2 linked regions of the Oreochromis niloticus genome follow. The main gene of each other region encodes a partner of the protein of the gene in region 2 in a complex. Links are inferred from orthologs where the notes say so. Each region holds a gene or a part of one and is shown on either strand. Other genes may lie near its edges.

What was found. Proteins that work in one complex are often made in the same cells at the same time.
Region 1: nhp2 (region 2) and dkc1 share a complex: the UniProt entries of both Homo sapiens proteins name them as parts of the H/ACA small nucleolar ribonucleoprotein (H/ACA snoRNP) complex. The link is inferred for Oreochromis niloticus from reciprocal best matches to the Homo sapiens genes NHP2 and DKC1.

Annotation. Positions count from the first base shown.
Region 1 is NC_031983.2:30,854,967-30,860,161, forward strand, and holds the start of dkc1 (H/ACA ribonucleoprotein complex subunit DKC1), read right to left. Parts: upstream 3,110-5,195; 5' UTR 3,095-3,109; coding exon 3,010-3,094; intron 2,926-3,009; coding exon 2,870-2,925; intron 2,791-2,869; coding exon 2,704-2,790; intron 2,330-2,703; coding exon 2,238-2,329; intron 2,163-2,237; coding exon 1,978-2,162; intron 1,715-1,977; coding exon 1,650-1,714; intron 1,473-1,649; coding exon 1,346-1,472; intron 1,264-1,345; coding exon 1,133-1,263; intron 924-1,132; coding exon 780-923; intron 592-779; coding exon 471-591; intron 428-470; exon of another isoform or gene 351-427; intron 286-350; coding exon 167-285; intron 98-166; coding exon 1-97.
Region 2 is NC_031975.2:32,975,018-32,980,212, forward strand, and holds nhp2 (H/ACA ribonucleoprotein complex subunit 2-like protein), read right to left. Parts: upstream 4,052-5,195; 5' UTR 3,910-4,051; coding exon 3,747-3,909; intron 3,127-3,746; coding exon 3,057-3,126; intron 2,959-3,056; coding exon 2,853-2,958; intron 1,194-2,852; coding exon 1,068-1,193; 3' UTR 800-1,067; downstream 1-799. Other genes in the region: cornifelin homolog B, read right to left, coding at 5,017-5,139. UniProt on the Homo sapiens protein: Required for ribosome biogenesis and telomere maintenance. Part of the H/ACA small nucleolar ribonucleoprotein (H/ACA snoRNP) complex, which catalyzes pseudouridylation of rRNA.

The DNA of each region.
Region 1 (5,195 bases), on a different chromosome or scaffold from region 2:
CGACGTACTGGTCCTTCCAGTCGGCCGGCGTGCTGCCGTTGGGCTTGCCGTGTTTGTCGAGCAGTCCCTTCTGAATCATCATCTTTTTCTGACTCGCCTGATTAACAAAAACTCGTTAAACACTCGATCAGGTTAATGGCTCACAGCTGATCATTGTCAGGCGCACCTTTGGTCCCAGGCCCCATTTCCGGGGATACGTGTCCCTCTCCATGATCACCCTCTTGATCTTTGCCACCACGCCATGGTCACATGTGGAGATCACCGCTGTGGTCATCAGCGCCACCGCTGCACAAAAACAAACTGGTCAATGATCCCATCGCTGATGGATAACCTCAATCGAGCAGAGGCGAAGCCATCAGTTATGGGTGATAGATAGCAAGTCATCACGGCCCGAAAGCTGCTGCAGCTACTCAACTCATCACGTGGCTTACCCTGAGCAGGACGTGACGGCATCACACCACCTAACTCACCTGTGCAGATGGCCTCGCCCTTTGTTGTTATGACAACGATATCCTGGTTCACCTCGATGCCGTCTTCATACCTGAGCACACCTGGCAGCATGATCTTAGCTCCATAACAGATGGCGTTCACCTGCAGACAGATGTTTTCAGTGTCACCTGTGCAGGTAAAATTCAGCAGCTTGGCAACGACTTTTAACCTTGCTGATAGGTGAAATACGGCGAGAGTCTGCCTGGACTTCTACCAAACAGGTGACCTCCACTTTAACATTCACAGCTTTTTTTTTTTTCTAAACTGGGAGGACGGCAAGGAAGACTCACGGCGCTGTCCTTCATCACGAGGCGTTTGTGTGACACGAGCAGCTTCTCCAGCGGGAAGATGACTCGCCGCAGGTACGACTCGTCTTTGTTGTGGTCAAACTGCCACTGAGCATCCAGCACGTCGTGCATCGTCACCAGATTGTCCTGAAACAGAGATCTGGTGAGCGATGTCATCATTAAGTGCAACGATGTCATGTCGGCGATACTTGGGTTCGGGGTTCGGACACGCCATGTCCGCCACCTCTCCATCGCCGTCTCTGTTTCAAAGTTCAATTGACAGACCCACACCGAGCAGCGGGCCTGGACTCAACACTTTGAAACCACAGTGACATCACACAATAAGTGACGCTCACCTTCTCTCCCATGACCCCTGACCGGACCCTCCTCAGCTCCTGCATCTGGCCTCCAACGCCGAGCATCAGGCCCAGGTGGACGCACAGCGTCCGAATGTATGTCCCCGCCTCACAGCTCACCCAGAATATACCTGCGGGAAAGACATAACTTGTGACATCACTACGCTCCCACACAGGTGAAGCAATTAAACGTCGAATGATCGTATCGCTCACCAAGCCTCCTCTCGGGGTCATACTCGATGAGTTTGCTCTCGTAAATCGTTCGAACTCTCAGCTGACGTTTGACGGCGGCGATCAGCGGCGGCCGCTGGAACAGAGCACCCGTCAACGTCTCCAGCCCCTGCAGATACAATCCCAGTCAGTGGAGGTCACATGACTGGCAGCCAGCCAATAAGAGCTTCAGGAAAACTGTATTAGGATGTTTTTAATCAAACAGGAGATTTCAAATGATCGATAAGCACGCTAATCAATACTCGAGCAGATCGATGAGCGAGCGCTTGGCGGCAGGAAGTCTTACCCGGGCCAGAACGTGCTCGCTCTCGATGGCGTTGTGCAGCCGAACTATTCCCACGTACTCTTTACCTGCAACAAACACAGAGAGCAGTGAGGCGGCGGCAGTTTACTGGGCCCACGCCGTGGCGAGGGGCAAAGACAGCGGGCTGGACAACATCAGAGGTTAACCACTTCCTGTCAGCTGATCATAAACTGGTCACACCAATTGATCGCTGCAAAGGTGTGACCTGCCACACGTGAACCAATCAGCTGTCAGATCAACATGTGTGGCATCACAATGCTCAGCTGATCACCTCCGACAGTCGACAGGAACAGGAAGTGGTAATCATTACCTGCGCTTTGTTGGGACTTGACCAATCGCGTGGCTCGGTCGATGCAGACAATCAGGCAGCCTGTGACCTTTGGGTCGAGCGTGCCGCTGTGACCAGTCTTCTCGACCCGAAGGATCCGCCGGATCCACGCCACGACCTCGTGGGATGATGGGTTGGCTGGTTTGTCAAGATTAATGAAGCCTGACCTGACAGGAAACAGCAAGTAGAATCAGAGGGGCACTGGGATGGCGTATCGGTGAGGTGTGCTGGCGGGACGGTACCTGACATAGTCGTGGATGTTCCTCTTCAGTGGGTTGCTGCCGCTTGGTAACGGCGTGTAGTGCGCCGTCCGGATATTCAGCTTATCAAAGTTCTGCAGATAAAAACACACACAAAAAAAAGCAACTTTGTTGGCGTCAAAACATCACTTCCTGTTTGAAGAGCAACAATGGGAAGCAGCACTCTTGGATATGGGTTGCAGTGTCATATGATCAGAACAGGAAGTCGTCTTGGCAGCGGTTGAGTTGCGCCGTTCTCTTGGCGAGGTTCCGGCTGTTGTCCGGCAGAACGCCGGGACACTGCCAGGACCCTGACCGAGAGGCTCCGCCACCAGAACGGGAGCAGAAGCACCGACTGCGACTCAAAGGCAGCACTCAGCGAATGGATAAACAGGTTCATCACATCACACGACCGCGACTTGACAGGAAGTAGTATCGTGACAATTACAAGTAGACTCAGGTGACCTACCTTTAGCAGCAGCGGCCATTGCGACGTGTCCAATGAGGCAACTTTGGACTCTGGGCGGATGAAGAAGTCCCCGCTCTGCTGGATTTCCTGAACAACAAGAAGAAGTTCGTTCACACACTTCAGGGTGCCAGGCACTGAAACAGCGACCTCTGACCTTCTGACTCACCCCAAGGTCTTCTTCACCGACTTTCTTCACTTTCTTCTTCTTCTTCACTGACGTTGCTGGAAAAAAAAACAAAAAAACTTGATATCAGGGTGACAAATGAGCATGCTCAGTCTGTAGGCAGACTTCCTTATGTCTTTGACCTGCTTTAAGATGATCTAACACAAAAGGTGGGGGGGAAAAAAAGTCATCTGGTGCTAAAATGGTGACGACATGAACTGTAATCATTTCTCAGGTTAAATCGGCTCATTCTTCTCTCCCCTCGTGCGCAGCTGCACAACCCACGTGGTTGTGCAGCTGCGCACGAGGGGAGAGAAGAATGAGCCGATTTAACCTGGAGGCCACGTGCCTCCCTGCGACACGTGGTTGTTAGCATGAGGTGGCTAATACACCGAGCTAACAGGCCTTTAATTGCTCAACTTATCAGGCGATTAATAATCAGGATGTTTAACGCGGCCGCAGATCGATGCAGTGAACTGGACCCGATCGTAATAAGCAATCAGTGATCGATCACAGCTGAGACCGACTGAAACTGATTCAAACTCACGAGCTCAGTCAGCACCGAGACCTCCCAGCAGCTCCACCAAACCTGCAGATCGATCAAAATCCGCGGATCTATCCGATTCAGCTCACTGATCAGAACCTTTCAACACATGATCCACCTGAACAGGTAAACTCAGTTTGCGCTTGCAGACGTGCTGCACACACGCCGCTTGTACACACTGGCACGTGTACCTAAGCTCGAACCGTTCCCCAGATCCTCCGAACCTTAAACCCAAAAAACAGACTCGGAGCATTTACGATCAAAAAGCGTTTTGTTTTTTTGTTTTTTTTCTGGAAAACGTGTTTTCCGTTTTTTAAAGGCAGTTCTGCGGAATCGAAGAGGCTGCGCGTAGCGAGCGGGTGTGCGCAGGCGCGGAGGTTCTGGTTCTGTCCGGTCTCTAACATGAATTTGATTCTGATTAAAACTAAAAACTGAAAGTTTGGAAGAAACGAGCCTCGTGCTCACCTCCTGTGTCCGCCATCTTCCGTCGACTGAGCGCGCACAGCGACCCCTTCCTCCTCTTCTCCCCCTGCTCCGTCTTCTTCTTTGGTGTTTGCAGAGGCGGAGGGGTTTACCGCCACCTAGTGTTGTGGAGATCATCAAACGTGTCTTTGGCTGTGTCCGAATTCAGGGGAAGGATGCTTAAAATGCCATATTTGGAGGCAATGACGCCACAGCGACGTGACGAGGACTGTCCGAATTCAAAGAGCACTCAAAATGTGGCGACAAATGTGTCCTACTTTTCCGCGAATTTGAGGGTTAGTCGTGTCCGAATTCAGGGGAAGGATGCGCCAATGCCATATTTGGAGGCAATGACGTCGCGGCGACGCGACGAAGGCTGTCCGAATTCAAAGAGTTCTCAAAATGTGGCGACAAATGCGTCCTACTTTGCCCTGAATTCTAAGGATGGTCCGATGTATCCTTCATGTCCTACTATATCCCAGGAGTCATTGCGGGTCATAGAGGAGATTTGTTTCTGATAACGATGGTGGTCGAAGCAGGAGAGGAAAACACTTTCAAATGTAAGTATATGAAAATCTGGTTGTACAAAAGTTAAATTGTTATAGCGGTCGTTTTGTTAAGCTTTGGGCATCTGCATAGACATGTTTCTTTTCTTTAAAATAACCGTAAACCAGCTTGTATCGGGGGTCCCGCGATTTTTCATGTATTGCCGCTTACATACAGCTAATTTTGATGTTTTCGAATTGGTGATATGTTGTGGGGAACAAAGACCAAACGGCTTAATTTATTAAAACGAGGAGAAAACGATCACCTCTTCACTGGGGTGAAGAATTGGGCCGCTACGGCGTGGATGTACAAGAATAAATCAATTTACGCATCATATTCATATGAGTACGGTCCTATTAACCCTCATGCTGTACAGCAGCGGTCCCCGACCTTTTTGAGCCACAGACCGGTTTATGTCAGACACGGAGCGGCCTTTAAGGTATCGCGGATAAATACAACCACATAAAATGATCCGACCAAGACAAAAACTGTGGTATTTTGTAAATATAATAATAAACGTGAATGTACTGTGTAATTGTGTAACTTTATTAGCAGTGTCCTCCTGAAAATGCGCCAATATTGACAGTAACATCCTCCTCTCTGCCACTTAATGCTCTCTGGTCGCTATGGTAACTGTAAATATTTCTTTCAAAATAAGACACACAACTACAACAAGGGAAAGACTCAGGGAAACCGAGTTAACGATAAAACCCCTGAAAACCATAAATTTCACACCGGAGCCTCAACTCTGTGGCAGGTGAAATTCTCCCCCTTGCA
Region 2 (5,195 bases):
GGATGAAGCAGGTGTTGTCAAGAGTTTTTCTCTATGTTCCTTCATTGTTTGATCGTCACTTTGTGAGCGGTCTTCAAATGATTGAATAAATTTGTAGTGTTGCTCTGTGGTGCAGCTACGACACCGTAGCAAAGTTTCCACACTATGTCTACTTGATCCACGTCTGAGTCCGTGAACCCAAAATGTTTCCACACCACTGAAGTCGTTTTACCTCTTTTCAACCAGCGGCATTCTTTCTTCAGCAGCCGTTATCCTCTCCTCTCCAAATAACTTCTGCTTAGCTTTCCGAGCTTCCCTCGGGTCCTCTTAATTGTTGTGACGCGTGTTCGAAACGCAGAGAGGTGCGCTCGATTTGCCACACGGAGCAGCGCGAGAGGAGGAGCTAATAATCGGCTCAGTCATTTTTAATGATCGTTGAAAGCCCAGATCGTAATCACGATTAAAATTCGATCAATTGAGCAGCCCTAGAACAATGTAATTTTAAGTTCAGATTTTATGAAATGTAAAAAATAAAAATGTTGTAATAAATAATTTTTAGATCCTTTTGTTCATTTCAGCACGTCCTCGTCTAAATATAATAACTGAACCTGTTTCATTAAAGCTCACGTTCGTGTTTCACAGGTAACGTTTCAAACAGCTGTTAAGTCTCATTCTGAGGAAGCTTCAGTGCTTCCTTCATTGCCTCCTTTAGCTGAGGAGACACTGAAGCATCCTTTATGAAGGAGAGGAGACGACGTGATCCATCAAGTGTAAAAGTGAAGATGTTTGTGCGGCTGCAGGAACGAGTTCAGACGCGTCACAGCGTTAACGACTTTAATAAGAAAAAACAAAAACATCTGTGAAACATCTGCCTTTACCTGATCACAGATCAATACATCGATTATACTAAACATTTTTCACTCAAACATCAACATCGTTCTTTATCTGAAGTCTGTTTGGTCTGGATTTAAATCCTCCTGCTGGATTAGCCTAGCTTAGCACAAACACTGGCAGTGGATGGAAACTGTTAGCACAGCTGGAGGAAGAACTGTTCCTTTGGGGGTGGGGCTTATGAAGGGGTGGGGGCTTCAGAGGGGTTTGGGCAGGCTGGAAACTTCCTCCAAGCACTCGTCATACGCTTCCTGGTAATCTTCATGAGGTTTGATGAGGATGACGCAGGTCGGCCTCTTCGAGCCCGCAGAGGAACCCAGGTCCTGGAACAGAGTTTCACAATAAGAGTCAGGAAATAAAAAAAGATTTTAAAGTCAGAACTTTCACTGCTATGCAGATGACTCGCAGCTCTATCTATCCATGAAGCCAGGTAACACACACCAATTAGTTAAACTGCAGGAATGTCTTAAAGACATAAAGACCTGGATGGCCGCTAACTTTCTGCTTCTTAATTCAGATCAAACTGAGGTTATTGTACTCGGCCCTGAAAATCTTAGAAATATGGTATCTAAGCAGATTCTTACTCTGGATGGCATTACCTTGGCCTCCAGTAACACTGTGAGGAACCTTGGAGTCATTTTTGACCAGGACATGGTAAATGGTAAAATGGTAAATGGCCTGTATTTGTATAGTGCTTTTACTAGTCCCTAAGGACCCCAAAGCGCTTTACACATCCAGTCATCCACCCATTCACACACTGGTGATGGCAGCTACATTGTAGCCACAGCCACCCTGGGGCGCACTGACAGAGGCGAGGCTGCCGGACACTGGCGCCACCGGGCCCTCTGACCACCACCAGCAGACAACAGGTGAAGTGTCTTGCCCAAGGACACAACGACCGAGACTGTCCCAGCCGGGGCTCGAACCGGCAACCTTCCGATTACAAGGCGAACTCCCAACTCTTGAGCCACGATCGCCCATCGACATGTCCTTCAACGCACATATTAAACAAATATGTAAGACTGCTTTCTTCCATTTGCGCAACATCTCTAAAATTAGAAATATCCTGTCTCAGAGTGATGCTGAAAAACTAGTTCATGCATTTATTACTTCCAGGCTGGACTACTGTAATTCATTATTATCAGGATGTCCTAAAAACTCCCTGAAAAGCCTGTTGTTGTGATTTGTTGCTGTATAAATAAAACTGAATTGGAAGCACACAGACTTTTCAAAATAAGAGAAATTATCCCAACACTAAAAGTCAGGAAATCACAAAAGATTTGAAAATAAGAGTCTGAAGCTGACGCGTGCTCACGTCTCACATGATCAGACGTTCGTTAGTTGATTGGCTGAAGCTCAGCAGGTCATCGACTAATCAGAAGGTTGGTGGTTTGATCTGCATGCAAGAAAGCTTTTCTACTGAAAACGTCTCGATGCACGCTCAATCATCCAGGTAAGTAAATCTGCAAAAGTTGATTCTGGACGTAGCGTTTTCAGTGGTGCTCATGGCCGCTGATCAGTGGTCATGAGAATTTGCATAATTATGATGAAGGAACTGACCTCCCAGCACATTGTTCCTTCAGTGGGCTGGTTTCAGTCATTATGCAAATGTACTGTTTATAAGATTGGGGAAACCTGCAGTCAGCTGAGACTGAAGAAGTCACCTGATGATGATGAAACCTTTCTCCCACTGAAAACATCCAGATGAACAGAATCAACTTTTGCTAAGCTGCTGTTACAGAGGGCGTGGCACACACAGCGCTCTGAGACACACTGGTGTCGACTGTTTGTGCGCGCAGTAACGTTTTCCTGCTGCGCTGAGGAGAGTGCAGCGAGCAGTGCACACACATGCTGTGTGAGCGGCGCTCTGCAAGCACAGACTGAGTTTCAGCCACGCCCATCCAACTTTCACAGAGCAACGCGTTCAGAGCCCGCCCCCATCAGGTGACAGACCTTCAGCACACCTGTCCACTGTCACTCACCACTTTAGACGGGATGTAGGCGTACGGCAGGCTTCTGTCCTCACACATGACGGGCAGGTGGCAGTAGACGTCGATGGGCAGCGTGTCGCCCGCCAGCACCACGATGCTGCAGACACATCAGAAACACATAAATACACCTGTGATCGTCACGAACACCTGGACACACCCGAGGACGTGCTGAAAGGTGCAGCAGCAGCGACTCACCCTTTCTCTCCTTTGTTGATGAACTTCTGAACTTCTTTGACTCCTCGTCGGATGTTCTTCACTTTGGCGGCTGGATGATAGAAGCAGAGACACATTAAACCAGACTCCAGTCAAAAACCTGCAGTTTTAAGCTCAAGTGCAACATGAAGGCTCTGCGCCTTCTTCAAGCCCAGACCAGCTGCAAACTGCATTTAAAGTCAGGAGGAGCACATCTGGATGTTTAAAGCTTTAACATCTGCAGTGTGAACACATCGTTCACATGATTCCCGACAACAAAAGTTCCCTCCCAAACCAAACTGTGAAGGAGATTTCCTCACATACTAAAAACACTTCTGCTAAGCATCAAAATAAAAGCACATGCAGCTGCCTTTTAAAACGCCCAGTGAAACCGGAAGCGGGTCTGACTGAACCTTTCACTGAGGATGAAGCTGTACAAACAGCCGCTGATTTTCCACAGAAAATTACCAATAGATTACAAACTGTGCATCTATAAGCGACGTGTTTACGGCCGAATTAACCAGAGGCTTCAAACGACTCGAACACTTTCTTATTTAAAGTCCTGCATCGACTCTAACAACTGCAGAGCAGAAAGAAATCGTTAAATTCGTGAATTTTTAAACAGAGTTCGGCGCCACAGAACAGTAATCTCCAACATTTCCCGGCCGTTAGCGGGATTCTTCTTCTTCTCACCTTTTTTCACGCATTTGTAGAGCTTCTTGCTGAGCTTTTTGGAGGCCAGCGGCTGAGCGATCGGGTTCAGGTGAGCGATCAGCTCCTGGTACGACCTCTCGGTGCCCCCGGTACCGGCTTCTTCTCCCTCCTCCGAAACTTTCTCCTTCTTCACCTTCGTCATTTTTGATCGATAATCACTGGTAATCGATACCCGTTTGATTGTTTTCTGCTCGGACTCCTGCCTGCTGATCACAACACGCTCACAGAAAAGACCCCACACGTGTTTCAAGCCTCTTTCTCTGCTGTTTGTGAAAACGCTGAACCACAACAGCGCCACCAGCGGCCCGGAGGGCAGCGGCAGCACCTCCCTTCAAAATAAAATACCAAACTTCATTTTTTAGGTTTAGTCAGAATTTTACTGACACTTCAGAAATATTCAGCGTAAATATATATCTATATCTATGTTTATAAAGAGATAAATAATAACATTTAAAAAAGTGAAAGTTTAAGTGGAAAGTTTTGGATTCGGCAAGAAGGAAATAATTTCCCCCTAAAACCTAAAAACCAGCTTCACTGTGTGGACACTCGACAGTTTTCTTTCATTACATGAAGCTAACAAACAAACGCGCACTAAAATTAATTATTGCTCATCAGAATGATCTGAAGAGAGTTCGTTATTAATATTTCCTTATAAACTTAATGATCAGGTTTTATTGCAAAGTGACACGACAATAAAATGAAAAACTGCTAAATGAAAAGTAATGAATGCTTTTGATTCCACATACACAGACACATTATTCAGAGTATTTATTTAATTACATTTGATCTGGAAGAAATTAAAAAAAAGGTTAAATACAATTTCCATTTTTTAAAGTTAAAGGTTTTTATTTTGTCAGTAATGAATTTGGCTAGAAGCCAAACTTGAATTGTGTAAAATCATTTAAATGATTTCATGTAAATTCTGAATCCTGAAATCACCTTCCAAAGCTCACACGAACTGAATATTTGTGCATTGATTAAATATCAGATCTGAGCTGAGCTTCTCTCCACAGTCTCGATTCATCTTTAAGCTCAGTCACAAGCATGAATTTAATTTTAATGAATTTAAGCTAACAACCATTTAAATCGAGTAAACAGATGAACAACAGAACAAAACAACAGATTTGTTAAAAACAAATAAGTGATAAATGCAGTAAACACTGATGATCATTGATTATTGATTTCTGCTGGTGCGGAGCTGGGCTGTGACGGGCCGGTCTGGGGCAATGACTTCATGCTGATGACATCATCACTGGCTGATGATGTCACTGAACATGGTGGGGAGCTTCTGCTTCTTCATCTCGGTGGCCATTTGACACCAAACGCAGGGCAGACAGAAGGTGGAGCACAAACAGTCGGTACAGAGATTCCCCTGAAACAAACAAACGAACGAACAAACAAAGTGAGCCACACTGGCTAACGTTAGCT